Linked DNA regions of Lonchura striata. The protein of the gene in region 1 binds, or shares a complex with, the protein of each later gene. Links are inferred from orthologs where the notes say so. Each region holds a gene or a part of one and is shown on either strand. Other genes may lie near its edges.

Region 1 (7,056 bases):
CCAGCCCCTGGCTGGATTTGAGGCTTGAGGCTGCCTGCAGCAGATTCACAGCTTTTTTTTCTAAAAAAATCTCTGAGTTGTGTTGAAATATTTCACACAGGGAAGAGCTACAAGTATTTACTGTGTAAGAGGAATAATTGAGGTTAAAAAAGCATGTTAGTACTGGATAGCTTATTAAGGGATTGCTCTTGCATATGCTGTTGGCAGTGGATATTTGGGGTGCAAGCTCTTTCTTCTCTTCCTTCCTGAAGGGCAGAGTTCCTCCCAAGCCCTTGAAGGCAAATTGAGTCATGCCCTTGTCCATGGATAAGCCACTCTGTATATCCAAGGGGAAATTTTGATTAGAGGCCTTGCAGATGGATGGCTGTGTGCAGAGAGCCTGGGCTCCCCACAGATTTGAAGCCATATCTATTCTGACTGGTTGGTGGCAGGAGAAGGGAGAGGAGGGCTCCCTACTTGGAACTTCTGAGGAAAAACACCTCCCCAGCTCCACTGGATCCCACGGGTAGAAGATGTTCTCCTCCTCCCCACCCCTCCTTCTCTGGGGGCTGCCCTCTCCTGTTCTCCTGCCCTGGCCTGCCCCAGCCAAGGGAGGTGCACAGCAGACTCTTGCACATCATTGGTCTGAGAAGGTCTCCATGCCCTTAAAGAGAAGGTGGATTTTCTGCTGAGCCACCCGAGAAGCCCTTTTATACCTCCTTACTCAGCCAGCTGTCTGCGGCTCATCTGTCCATCCTGTCCAGCCTGCACGACTCTGATTTTCTCCAGGCTTGGGTGAGCATTTTTGCATATCTCCTAATGACCCAGCTTGCTCTTAGGGAGTGATGGGGAAGCAGATTTACTTACCTGAGTATTAAGGAGATAAATACCAGGTGGGGGTGGCCTACTGGGAGAAACAGGAGTGCGAATAACACTTTCTCCATCCTTTGCTTATTGGAGAGGATCTGTGCATTGGAAAGGTTCGCGCTGTCGCTTCCACTGAGCTTTTCTCTTTCTGATTTCATGCTTTCCCCTGCCTTGGCTGGTTCTGCTCTCAGCTTGAGTGGCTAGGGCAAGTGGAGCCTAATGTGCCCTCCACAGGGCCTATGGATTGCGGATCCTTGCCTGCGGTGACTCGGCTATGCCCCCATCTTACACCCCATCCTCCAGCTCCCTACCCTTGCCGAGCCTTCCTGCCCAAAACCACCCTGGGACAGGCACCGACATCCCAATTCACGGTGTCCTCCCGGCAGAACAGGCGATGCCGAGCCCACGTCGCGGGCTCCGAGCCGTAGCCCGGGCTGTCCCCTGGCTCGGAGCCGCAGCCCGGGCTGTCCTCCGAGCCGCAGCCCGGGATGTCCCCGGGCTCGGAGCCGCAGCCCGGGATGTCCCCGGGCTCGGAGCCGCAGCCCGGGATGTCCCCGGGCTCGGAGCCGCAGCCCGGGCTATCCTCCGAGCCGCAGCCCGGGCTGTCCTCCGAGCCGCAGCCCGGGCTGTACTCCGGCTCGGAGCCGCAGCCCGGGCTGTCCCCCGGCTCGTACTCGCGGCCCGGGCTGTCCCCCGGCTCGTACTCGCGGCCCGGGCTGTCCCGGCTCGGCGGGAGCTGTGTGCGGGGCAGGGCTGTCAGCGCACACAGCCCGCGTTCCTGGGCTCGGCCCCGCCACCTGCGCTCCGCACCGCCGCCACCTCCCCGAGTCACGGGGCTGGCACCGGGCAAAGGCTGCCGTCCCAGGAGACAGCTGCAGCTCCTTCTGCAGCTCCCTGGCCATTTTTAGAAGCACTTTCCTCCCCCCGCCTCTCCTCTCTGAAGCAATGTGATGGGCCCGCACATTTTCCAGGATAAAGTTTCCTTGGCCCTGCGAGCTGTGCCTCCTGCCTCGGGCATGAGCCCCCATTAACACTTCCCCTCCTGACAGAGCCTCCCAGCTCTGCAGACGGCTGCATTGGCTGCTCTGCAAAGGGCAGGCTTAGGAGATGCAAGTAGATATTGCTCTGATAGAAAAGTAAAATTCTATTTATGTGGAAATCATTTACAGCAAATCAAAGGTGCTCTTCCATCTCTTCCCTAATACACTGTGTTGTATGTGTAAAATTTCCACTTAAAGCAAATGAAAGGGATTGCCTGGGGAATTTTTTTGTGCTTATATCAACTCAACCACAGCTTCCAGCTGTGCTGAGGCTGCTGCAACAGGCTCCCCTGTCCCACAGAATGAATGCATACACTGGCAGTAGCATCCTCTGGAGTCCTTCCTTGCCACCTGGGGTCATCGCTGACCCTTTGCAGGCTTTGGGATATTTCTTGTTTATGAAGTGAAGTAAGGTTGAATGGCAAAGTGAAGCAGCAAACTGAAAATAGTTTTTGCCTTTTCTTTCTTCATTGAATAAAATGGTTTTATGGGGGTCAGACAAGAAACATACCTGCAGGAATCACTGTCACAAATCTCTCTTTTTCTGTCTCAATCCCATTTAGCCTTTTCCAGAAGTCCTTTGATGTTGTGGTTTGTGTTGCTATGAGGAGATATTTGCCTCTCATCTACAAACTGCAGCCTAGTTCCCTATATGATGAAAAATTTGTGAAGTTGGGAAATAAGAACAAACCTGTTCCTCTTTTCATTTTCTAGAGGAGGTTTGCTTTGTTTGTAAATCCACAAAAAAGTGAGTTTAAAATCCACAAAAAAGTGACCACAAGCATGAATAATTGTAAACTTTTTCTCTTGGTTTTCATTTCAGGCTCAGAACTATCTAAACCAAGATGTCTGAGTAAGTTCCCATTTTTTCTGTCTCTAATACACTGTTGGCATTTAAAAACTTTTGTTCAACCACCAACTTTTATGGTTGTTAAGATTCTTCTGCTTGTTTCTAGTTAGGATGCTAATTAACTGCCTTTTTTTTCCTCTTTCCCCTTTCTCTTCCTTCCTTTCCTTGTCCATCTGCTTTTCCTGAACAGTGAAGAGGTAAGTGTGTTTTGCTGGCGTTTTTCCTTTAGCAATGCTTATGGCAGCAGTCCTGGCTTCACCGCTCCTCCCTAGGAAAATCAGCTGCTCTGTGTATGTGTGTGTGTGAAGAATGGCTCAGGGTTATTTTCTTGCTGACTCCTCCTGGTAAACACATGAAGGAGAAGAAAAATCCCTTTTGAATGACTATTTTTTTTGTCCCCTGGCATGGAGTTTGATGCTTTTCCCCCTCCATTCCTGCTTCCCCAGCCGGCCACGAGATGGTGCTGGGAAGGCAGTGGTCCAGAGCTGCCTCTCCTCCGTCATCCATCCACCATCCCGCCCTTGGCCGAGCATCCTCCCCTCCTTCCCCACATCCAGCCCTTAATTTTCTACCCACTGAGCACTGACAAATCCCTTCCCAAAGGCAACCCAAGGAGACCTGGATCCAGGGGAGTGTGAGCAGGGTGGAGGTTGCATTCTTAGCAAGTTTTCCCTGGCTTCTGGCAAAGCCAGGTGGGGTTGGGGGTGTCTGAAGAAATGCAGGCGAAGGTGTGGGAGGATTGTTTGTGGCTTTGTCACTCCACATTTCCTCTTAGCATATTGCTCCATCCTTCATTTCTGCTTAGCATCTCCCCATATGTCTGCAACACCACAAGCTTCAACTTGTTCTCACTGAGAGAAAAGAGGATGTCAGGGACACATAGAAATGCCACAAAATGGTGCTGATAACCAACATGTTCTTTTACTCCCCATCAAGCCCAGACATCCCAGAAAAGGCTGGGAGGACACTCTTTGCTAAGGTACCAGTTTTCAGATGGAGAATAAGCCTTGGACTAACAGCCCTCAAGGGATCTGATTGTCTGATGGTTAATAGTGTGCTGCATCTCTGAGCTGGGTGCCTTTTCTCTGCAAAGCCCTCCAGCCCTGTCAGGAGGGCCTTGGCACCATTTACATATGTGAGACACGTCAAGTTTTGTTACATTTCACTCTGCACATCCTTATTCACTTCCTCCTCTCCGCAGCACAAACCCACACCCAAGTGCTGCTTTCTACTCCCCACCTCTCAGCATATCTGATGTGCTTCCCCTGGGCCAGCCCAACTGAGCCATGCCCTGTCTTCTGGGTGAAATGCTCAGGAAACAGCTGAAATGCAGAAGTTGTGGGTTTTTTTGTAAGTAGGAGTCCTATTGCTGCTGGTCCAGCATGACAAGGACAGAAGGGCAGCCTGTGGTTGGGTCTGTCCTCCAGCTGTGATGAACCCTGCTTCAGCATCACTTGTGCTGGGTCTTTCCAGCTCCAAGAAATTACACAGCCTTCATGTTTTCACCTGCCTGGCTGTCCTTGTCACTAGAGTGTCAGAAGGACGCATGCCCTGGACTGCTCAGAATGACATCCCACAGCTCCTGAGTGCCCAGGGTCATGGGGGTCATTAGCTTGAGCACAGTGTAAAACACATCTGAGTGAAGAGGAAATCAGAGAAAAGGCTAAAAGTCCCAAGAAGCCATGTTTGAAGCCATATTTTATACATATATTTTCAAATTCATCACCCTTGTTATCTTTTCCTCGGGGACTTTGTAGATTTTAGATACCTGAGGTTGGCAAAGCTGGGTTCAGCAGGGAGCCTCTTCCTTGAGTGCTGCTGGTCTGGGGACAGACTGTGTGTCAAGATGGAGCAATCTCCCTGGCAGGGCTGCAGGTCCTTGGTGGACTGTGGCATTGCATGGGGAAGGGCAATGGAAAGGGGAATGGGCACCTGGTAACCTTCTTTTCTCTTGTCTTTTCTTCCACTTGCAGAAAAAGAGGAGGGCAGCCACTGCCCGTCGGCAGCACCTGAAGGTACGTGGCACTGCTGTGGCTGTGGGATGTGTGTCCCAACCTTCCCATCTCCCATCCCAAGCCAGGCAGCTCTCAGCACTCTCCCTACTAGAAGAGGCCACGATGCACAGCATAGATCTCCCAGCCCACTGCTCACTGGGTCTCTATCTTATCCCTTGCTTGGAAATGGTATTTATGGGAACTCCCCAGGCTGCCTCTCCATCAGGACTCCCACTCCCCTGAGGAATGACCCCCCTACCCTCCTTCCTTGCTTCCATCCTGCACTGATGCATCTCCTGCTGCCTTTCAGAGTGCTATGCTCCAGCTTGCTGTCACTGAAATAGAAAAAGAAGCAGCTGCTAAAGAAGTGGAGAAGCAAAACTACCTGGCAGAACATTGCCCTCCTCTGTCACTCCCAGGATCCATGCAGGAACTTCAGGTACAGGCTTCTTTAACCCTTTCAGTGCTGGAACAGAAAATATTTGACTCTGTCAGTCAGCCTGGTGGATATAGACTGGCCTTCCCATCTTGACCCTCTCCTCACCTGTGTTACCCTGGAGCCAGATGAACATGGAGCTGGCTTGAGAGGCAGGTGGGGTCTCTCTCCCAAAAAAAGGGGTCTGGCTGGCAAGAAAGATGTGTTTTAAAGGATGTGTTGAGGCAGCATTTGTGTGCAGCCAGTAGCATGGAGATTAGGAGCTGGCTGATAAGCTCCTCTTCACCTTAAGCCTGTCTAGTGTTCTGGACTGAGGGTTTTCAGAGCCAAAGCAGTCAGGAGTCAGTGTGAGTCCTAGCAGTCAATATCCCTCTTTGCTTTCTTCCCAGGAGCTGTGCAAAAAGCTTCATGCCAAGATAGAGTCAGTGGATGAGGAGAGGTATGACACAGAGGTGAAGCTACAGAAGACTACAAAGGAGGTGAGTTCCTCTGGAGCCATCCTTCAGGGGAGTCTGCAGCCCATTCCTCATGCCTCCCTGTGCCACTTGGGTCCATCTCATTAAACCCACGCCCTCCTCTCTCTCCAACCCTCCTCATTTCTTCCCCCCCAGCTGGAAGACTTGAGCCAGAAACTCTTTGACCTGCGTGGCAAGTTCAAGCGGCCGCCGCTGCGCAGGGTGCGCATGTCGGCTGACGCCATGCTGCGGGCCCTGCTGGGCTCCAAGCACAAGGTCTGCATGGACCTCCGAGCCAACCTGAAGCAAGTGAAGAAGGAGGACACTGAGAAGGTATCCTTCCCTCTTCCTGTTGTCCCTAACAGGAGTAGCTCCCACCCTTGAGGGCTCACACCTCCCCGCAAGACAGACAGAGTTGAGAATGACTCTTTCTCCATAATGTTCTTCCTGCTCAGTATTTCCTTCTCTGGCACCCATGATGTTGAAACAGGAGGGTGCAGTTTAGAAAGATGTATTGCATGGGTGGAACTGGGTTCCTCCAGCTGACATGGGGGTTTCCATGGGTGGACTGGTGTGGGGCCCGGGCTGGGTGGGTTCTTACCACGGCGCCATTCACACCAACGCAACCTCCCTCCCCCAGGAGAAGGATCTCCGTGATGTCGGTGACTGGAGGAAGAACATTGAGGAGAAGTCTGGCATGGAGGGCAGGAAGAAGATGTTTGAGGCTGGCGAGTCCTAAGCACCTGCATCTCCACAGCTGTCCTCCTCTCCCCGCTGTCCCCACTGCCCCGCCGGGCTCAGGGGCGCTGACTGGGTGCCATTTCTCTCTAGTTTTGTGAAGAGCTGCATCATGGCAGCAGTGATGTAAATAAAGCTTTGGTGGGAGAGGTGGGTGTTGCCTGCCTGGGTGGCCAGACCCCGACTCATGCCATGGTGCCAGCAAGGATTGCCTCACTGTGGCAGTCCTGGTGGGGATGGGGGGGCTTTGGCAGGGGCTGTGCTGAGGAGGTGGGGGGCCTCTCTGCTGTTGGTCCCTGTCCAGAGCTGCAGATGCTCATGCCCTTCTCCAGTGGTGAAGAGACAAAGAGAGAACAATCCTAGCCCCAGGAGGAGTTGCAGAACCTCAACCTATGATGGCATCAGCAGGAAGCTGTGGGGAAGAGCTGAGATGGGGGGAGAGGGGGTGGCATCTGCAGGGCAGAAGCAGTCCCTTTGGCTCCAGTGGGATCTGAGAGGTGCAAAGACAGGAAAACCTTGGCAGCACCTGCAGCAGCAGCCTGGGACTGGTACAGTGTAGGGTGCTGTGGTTTAGAGATGATGGCTGTCACCAGAGTGGCACGGGGGGCAGTGGTCCACTCCTGTCCCTGCCATGGTGGGGATGTCTGTGCTGCCCACTTTTCTTTTGGGTTAGCCCAGGACTTCCAAATTTTTAGCT
Region 2 (7,269 bases), on another chromosome or scaffold:
CAGGAAGCTTAACTGCTCTGCTTCCATCTCAGCCAGTGTTATTACAAAGGTGTCTGGCTCTGAAGGGAGCTGCTATTCCCTTTAGTCTGTTTTGGGAATCTCTGAAGAAATGGCCTGTGGAGCCAACAGGCATTTGCTGACATGGGATGGCAGACTGTTCCCAAACTCTGCCCTAATTCAATCCCCACAGACTGATGGTAGTGGGAGTTTATTAGCATGAATTAATGAAAATAATCAATGAGGAGAGCAAAGGGAAATCAATCAGCTCTGTGTCATACCTGTTTAAGTGCCTTTCTCTCTTTGGCTTCATTCCAGGTACTGCTTAGCTGAACTTGCTGCCCTCACCACCATGTCCAACTGCCCCTTTGGAAGCATCCATGAAAACATCAACTTCTCCTTCCTGTGCTGGTCAACAGCCTCTCTAGATCCAGCCTGGTAGGGACCCATGCCTGCCCTATCTGACCCCACTAAATTCTCCTTGCTGCCACCCCAATGCCAGTGGCCCCCAACACCCATCCCTGCCATGCTGTGTTTGGGCAGGACCCCAAAACCCCGGGTTGTGTCTTTGAGTGAAAACTGATTCTTTTGCCCCGAAGGGCAATGGTTTTGCACAAGCCAGCTGCTTCTTCCTGCTTGCAGCAAGAAGCAGAGAAAATACTTTTCCTTAGCAGGTCAGAGCCTGTGGGAGCAGGCAGAGCATTTTATCCCACTCCCCATGCTCCAGGAGGTGAGGACTTGGCAGAAGCACTAAGGACGGTGGCAGGATTTTTCTCCACTGCTGGAGGAAACCCAAGCCCAGTGTGTTTCTGGTGCTGCTGAAGGCAAGCAGGCAGCTGCTGGCCCTCTGTAGACATTTTTTGGGCAGAGCAAGGGCAGCCACCACCACGATGGCCACAGCCACGTCCTGCTCTGTAACATGACACTCCTGGCGCAGTCGCTATTTATAAGCCTGGGTGAGAGGTGTTGGAGATAAAGATGAGCTCCCTGATTGTTCCCAGGCTTTGGTATTTATCCTTGCAGCCCTTTATCTGGACACTTGTCCCTGGCACTGTTCTAGGCACCACTTAACAGAGCCTAAAAATATTCCCAAAATAGTTTTGTGTTTGCACACCCTTATCTAGGCATGAGTGGGTAAGATGAAAATCCATTGGGTCCTCTGACTGCACGTAGGGGATTTGGCATAAATGTAATATTAATATACGCTATCAACATGCATAAAATACACAGCTATTCCATTTTAAAGCCTCCTTGAGTACTGAAGTGATAGATGTGTATATAAATTAAATGCATTGTTGCTATAGAGTGATATTTTTGTCACAAAAATGTCTCTTGAGATATTCGTAGTTCATTCTGGATGTGGGTGCTGTTTGCTACCTTATTCCTCTTTTCCCTCCACATCATTCCAGGAACAGGTTTTTCTGACTGCAGTGTGGGAAGGCAGGCTCTAAGCTCACAGCACTGCAGCAGCTGTGGTAGTGCCAAATCTGCTGTATTTTGCTTTTAAAAGCTCTTCTCTCCATCCCATGGTTCTGTTGGAAGTCAGGGGAAACTGAAGTTCTTAATTTTTTTCTTCCACAGGTAAATGTTTTCTTTACAGTCTAAATTGAGGGAAATAGAAAACAGCTCCACAAAAGAGCTGTTTGTCTCAGCTGTGCCTGGCTTGGACTTGTTTTGCCTCTGTAAAGGTGCTGGGAGTTAATGCCCAGGACTCAAACCCTACATTTACCTAATTAATGGCTATGTGATCCCTATGCAATGAGGAAAGAGCCTGTACCTTCAGTCACAGAGAACTTATTTAATTAAAAATCTTAATTAGAAAGGCCTGGATTTCCTTTGATTTTACAGGTTCCATTTTTCTCCGTTTTGAAGGTGTTGGTTGGGGGACTCAACCTTTCCTGAACCTTTTCACACTATCAGGGTCACTACAGGGGTTCCATTTCCAAGGTTCAAGGCTGACCAAAGGACAGGGGATGTGTGAGCATTGGGGTTTTTTTTCAGTTACCTACCAAGGATGATATTCCTTCCTTCTAAAAACCTTGCCATAATAATAAGACTGGTATGATGCATTTTTTGTGCTCTTGCTTAAAATCAAACTTGATCAGCTGTATATTTAAGGAGGGAAAAGCACGAAAAAGCTCTTACTGTAAATCCAGTTATGGATGCAATAGCAATCCACACAATCCAGACTCTATTTTCATCCTTAATCCACTTGCACATCTCTGTCTGCCTACGTTACAGAATAATGCAGTGTTCTTATTACAGACCAAATAGTTTGGGTTTACACAGTGAGCACAGTGTGCAGCTGTGGAAGTTAAAATAGCCCAAGGATGCTCCACGTTCCCCAGGGCATAGCTCACATTCTGGATTCTGCACAGCACAGAGCAGGAGCAGCAAAGCAGAGGAGGAGGTTTGGAAATAACTGAGAAAAAAACGAGGGTTTTTTAAAATCTCTCTGAAAAATATTCAGCTAAGAAGGGGGGAACAAAGCAATGGCAGAATTGTAAAGCACCAGAAAGAAGGTGAGTTTTAACCCATAAAAATAATGTTTCTTTTCTGGGAAATCCTCCTCTGCTTTGTCTGGGCTAAAACCAAGAGTCATCTCTTATGCCTTGCAGGTTTTATTGAGATTTATATCTTCACCTAGGAGCCATCTCCCTGCTTTTCAGTGGGGAACCAGGGGGTCATTGTTAAGAGTTTCACACTTTTAAGAGGAGTGTGAAACTTCCAGAGCCATGATAGGGAGAGGTCTGTGTCCTGGATGAGGACGTTGACTAAGAGTTGCTGCCTTATAATTATTTCTCATTTTCATTTCTCACTGAATTATTGGAACCTACAACAAAAATCCTTAGATCCATTTCAGACCCCCCCTCTCCCCAGCCCACAGCCCCGCGGGGAGACACTCACCGCTGCCTTATAAATGTCATCCATGGCTGGGCGAGGGCCGGGGGCTGTCGCGGTCACTCTGCCGGCGCTGCCCCGCGGGCAGGGCTGATATAGGGGGCTGGGGCCAGCCCCGCATGCCCGGCCCCCCAGGAATGCCTGGCCTGCGTGCCTGGGGACGGGGACACCACCGAGCCCGGCGCTGGCACGTCCGGGCCAGCGGCAGCGCCAGCGCCGGCCCCGCTCCGGAGCAGCTGGAGCTTTCCTCGTGACTCTGTTGTGGGATCAAGCCACCGCTTTTGAGCAAGACCTGCCGGAATTGCTGATGTATCGCGGCTCTTGGCTGTCCTGGCTGGAGCCGTGCCATCGTGTCACCTCCACCTCCAGCGTGTTCCCCCTGGGAGCTGCGTTAGAAAGATTATACCGTGCCAGATAGGATCGGGTATTAGAGGAAAGGCACGTGTCCCAAAATATCCCTGTCCAGGAGCAAATGTCCCCCAGGGCAGTGGGAACAGGGGGTCTCAGGGCCCCTCGTCCCCTCTGCTGCGTGTCCCCAAATCCACGGGGGACCTGCAGCTGGGGCCAATGGCCTCGGGAGGGCTTGGGGGGAATGTGCAGTCCCAGTGCCACGGACAGTAGCGTGGAGACACATGGAGCTTTGCCACAGTTTTCTGTTTTCAGCTAGGGCAGCAAAATGTGGGGATCAGCTATCAAAATGGGGGTATCAACCCTGTTTGATTCCAGGGATAATTGCCAGTCCTTTGGGAAGTCATGACTCACTTCACCCAGCCAGCTCGCTGATCTGTCCCCACTGCAAACAGCCAAAATGCACACTCCTGGATTTACTGTGGGTTTACCATAGATTTACCCTGCCACAGTGGAGAGCAAAAAACACCAAAGGCCTCCAAGTGATGAGCAGTTTTCTCAGTGCAGCAAAAAGTGTTTTAATCCACAGCAAACAAACCTGTCTTTTCAATGATTCAGGACTCCCTCTTGTGTCCAGAGGGGCTACAGATGGCTCTGGCACCACAGGGTGGCAAGGTCTCACCTCCAGCTGGCTCATGTCAAAATTAGTTTGCAAAATTAAAAATAAAATTAATGCAACTGCTAGTTTTCATCTTTACTACAAATCCACCTTTAAGAAGAATCATGCTGCATGGAAAAACCTGCAGTCCCTGTGGAATGCCCAAGCCAAAGCAACATTAACCAGGTGGTGTCAGCACAAAGTGGGGATGCAGGTGAGCACAAAGCCATCCCCACATCGTATTCTCCCAGGTTTTGAGTCCTGAAAGATTAAATCACTACAGAGCCTGATAGGAACTGTGGTCTTGTGGGCACCTGCTGGCCTTGATTTTCCCAGGCTTCAGCCCAGCCCTGCCTCTGCTCAGCATAGGCGTAGCAGATGGAATAAAAGGGAAAATTGTTACATTTTTTGAAGCAGTTAGTCTTACTAATTTGAATGTATTTAATATTTTGGTTGCCTTTAACACACGGAAGTCAGAAACAGCAGCAGAGGGAAGTAGTTTTGTTAAAGGAGCCTGTTCTTAGGCGAGAGCACAGGCTGGGATGGGAGACCTGCTGTTCCCCAGAACCAAACCACCCCCCAAAACCTCGTGGGCAACCCCAGAGAGACCTTCCCAATGAACCGCTGCCCCGAGGCAAGCCCCAGCCCCTGACTGCTTCTCTGGCCTTGGGATTCACTGCAGGTGGCAGGTGCCAGCTCTGGGCACTAGCAGGCTCCAGGACAGGGGCTGAGGAATCACGGCTGGCCCTGTCCCTCCATCCTGGGAAGTGATGGCTCTGAGTCACCCTGAAAACAGCCCCTGGGATGTGTCAGAATATATTTAGGGTCAATGTAGCGCAGGAGAGACAGCTCCAACATTGCCTTTAAAAGGTCTGCTGGGGAGAGCTGGGGTGAAATTCAGGCTGGGATGTTGGAGGAAGGGTCTCTGTGTGCTCAGAGAGGGGAAATTTGGGCTGCTGCCACCCTACTGGCATGGGAAAGCTGCACTTCTGTGAACATCTGATGGAGGCAGAGACTTACAAACCAGAGCTGAGCCCAGAGGAAAGGATGAAATCCCATCTGGCAGCGGAGGGAGGTGATGTTCCTCCCGGGGAAGGAGGCGCAGGCGAGTGGCGTTGTGCCAACCCCTGCCTCCCCGCCGGCTGCCTGGAGACAAAGCTTCCAGCATCCCCTGGCTCTCCGAAGTTGTTTGCTTACAAAAGGATTGGGAATTGGGGTTTTGTAGGGAAACCCAAAGCCTCTGCCATGCAAAGCACAGGAAGGAGCTACTGCAGGTATGGGCTGTTCTGAGGGAAAACCACCCTCTCCTGCTGCTTCCTGTGCCTCCTCACCTGAGCCCCGTGGCAGACAGGGAGTGTGGCTATCCACAGCCCGAGGAGGCTGCCAGCACAAGTGCCTTAAATCTGGGTACAGCTGGCCCGGTGACACACCAGCTCTCACTGGGGTCAGGTACAGACTGCTAGCTCCAGCTGCATCCTGACATGCTGTCCCACTTGTCAGTCCCTCCAAGCTACCAAGACAACTGGGAAGCTTTACTTGGCTTTTTTCCTCCAAAACTTCATTTCAGGTTCTCATTTCCAAGCTGCTGTAACCCACTGCAAAACTAGCAGAGGCATTCTTGACATCAAATGTAAAGAAATAAAGGACAGAAGCTCAACTAAATTGCAATTTTATTTGAGATTAGGGATGTTTACAGGGCTCCTTTGGCTGTGTCATGGCTCCAAACTGCAGCAAAATGCTCCATATCCCCCTTCCCTGCCTTGGGCACATGGCCCTGAGAGTCCAGACCCAGCAACAGCAGAATTATTTAATGTACTCTTTCCTAAACACTACTTGGAATATTTTAGCTGAAGGAGAACCCATTTTCCCCCTTCCATAGGCACATTGCTCCTCTCCTCTGTGAGCCAGGACAGGGCTGTCACACCATGAGCCGCTGCTGTGCCTGCAGGCAGGAACTGCTTCAGGAGGAGACGGGCACTGATCAAACCCGACAGCCGGGCTGCAAATTTTTATTTAATTAAGGAGATGGGACATTCAGAGGAAGCTTAATTAAAGTTGCTCTCCAAACCCACTTACTATCTCATGAAGAGGCTGAGCTCAGCAGCAGTTCCTGATGCTGGGATAGCATTAGAAAATCCCTGTTGGGCTGCCTGTACTCTCTGTCTTTTGTCCTTTTGCACATCATCCTTCAGCTTCATCCTGACCAAGGAAAAACATTTTTCAGTGAGAAACACCCCAAAATGAGTTTTTCCAGTTCTTTTTGCAGTGGTGTGTTTGCTCATCTGCCACTGCAGTTCTGATGGCATCTGTGAGACACCAGCATTGCCCCTGCAGCTCCTCACATCCAGCCAGGGCATTTGCACTTCATGACACCATGCTGAGCTAATTGCATCTTCTCTTAGGTAGCATAAGGAAGGGCAGGCAGATGCTGCTTTCATTCTGCTGGAAAGTACTTTTTAACAAAATCTCCTTGATTTGACAGTCCAAAACATAATCCTTCTGTGTGTAATGTAGCACAGAGTATATTTCAAAGCCTTGATGGATGCTTGATGCATCCTTCTGCCAAAACATAATCTTTCTAGATAACCTCTCAATTTTAATACACTCAGATACTCCAAAAGAAACTCATTATATCCTCTCTCCTGCAATTTTCTGTTCCTGGTGAGGCAGGAACAGAACAGGCATTCTGAGCCTGTCAGAAAGGTTGCCATAGTATGACTTCCCCTCAGGGCAGCTCAGGTTCAGCTCAAGGGAAAAGGCTGAGGAGAGTTTGCTTGCCATCTTTTAGATTCTCCACTTCTGTTACAAATTCTTGGCAAGATCTTTTAGCGTGTTCAGGCTTGAAACACTTCCCCATGCTGAGCAGGACAGTGAAAGTGAAGTCCATGCTGTCAGTAAATCACCCCAAACAGCACCCCGAGTTCACTCTGGGCTTATTCCTGAGGTCTGGCCCATCAGCCCAGCTCCTCAGCACTGTTTTTGGGGTGGCACCAGGCAGCTCAGTCACACAACCACTGAGGTGGCACCTCAGCCTGGTGTGGCAGTGTCCAAGCCTCCAGGAGCCCTTGGTGGCTACAGATGTGCACCACAGGCTGCCAGCAGCTGGGACAGGGTCACAGCTCCAACACTGGGAGGGGGCTCAGCCCTTGGCAGCTCCACACTAGAGGGACTGGACTGGATTGCCCGCACTGGATTGGACAGGGTTGGATTCATTGGATTGTACTGGATTGCACTGCATTGCCCTGTATTGGATGGGACAGCAGTGGATTGCATTGGATTGGATTCATTGGATTGCACTGGATTGGATTGGATTGGATTCCATTGGATTGGATTCTATTCCATTGGATTCCATTGGATTGCACTGG

The links. The genes of interacting proteins can lie anywhere in the genome.
Region 2: the proteins of TNNI2 (region 1) and TNNC1 are in contact, whole or in part, in an NMR structure (PDB 2MKP), measured with the Homo sapiens proteins. The link is inferred for Lonchura striata from reciprocal best matches to the Homo sapiens genes TNNI2 and TNNC1. Residues at the interface, in NP_001139301.1 of Homo sapiens: Arg116, Met117, Ser118, Ala119, Asp120, Ala121, Met122, Leu123, Ala125, Leu126, Leu127, Lys130, His131, Lys132; in NP_003271.1 of Homo sapiens: Asn18, Glu19, Phe20, Ala22, Ala23, Ile26, Val44, Met45, Met47, Leu48, Gln50, Pro52, Glu56, Phe77, Met80, Met81, Cys84, Met85, Lys86, Asp87.

Annotation. Positions count from the first base shown.
Region 1 is NC_134608.1:46,533,499-46,540,554, forward strand, and holds TNNI2 (troponin I, fast skeletal muscle), read left to right. Parts: upstream 1-4,634; 5' UTR 4,635-4,751; intron 4,752-5,040; 5' UTR 5,041-5,046; coding exon 5,047-5,169; intron 5,170-5,555; coding exon 5,556-5,645; intron 5,646-5,777; coding exon 5,778-5,954; intron 5,955-6,261; coding exon 6,262-6,360; 3' UTR 6,361-6,508; downstream 6,509-7,056. UniProt on the Homo sapiens protein: Troponin I is the inhibitory subunit of troponin, the thin filament regulatory complex which confers calcium-sensitivity to striated muscle actomyosin ATPase activity.
Region 2 is NC_134614.1:9,515,398-9,522,666, reverse strand, and holds the start of TNNC1 (troponin C, slow skeletal and cardiac muscles), read right to left. Parts: upstream 3,031-7,269; 5' UTR 2,929-3,030; coding exon 2,905-2,928; intron 1-2,904. UniProt on the Homo sapiens protein: Troponin is the central regulatory protein of striated muscle contraction. Tn consists of three components: Tn-I which is the inhibitor of actomyosin ATPase, Tn-T which contains the binding site for tropomyosin and Tn-C.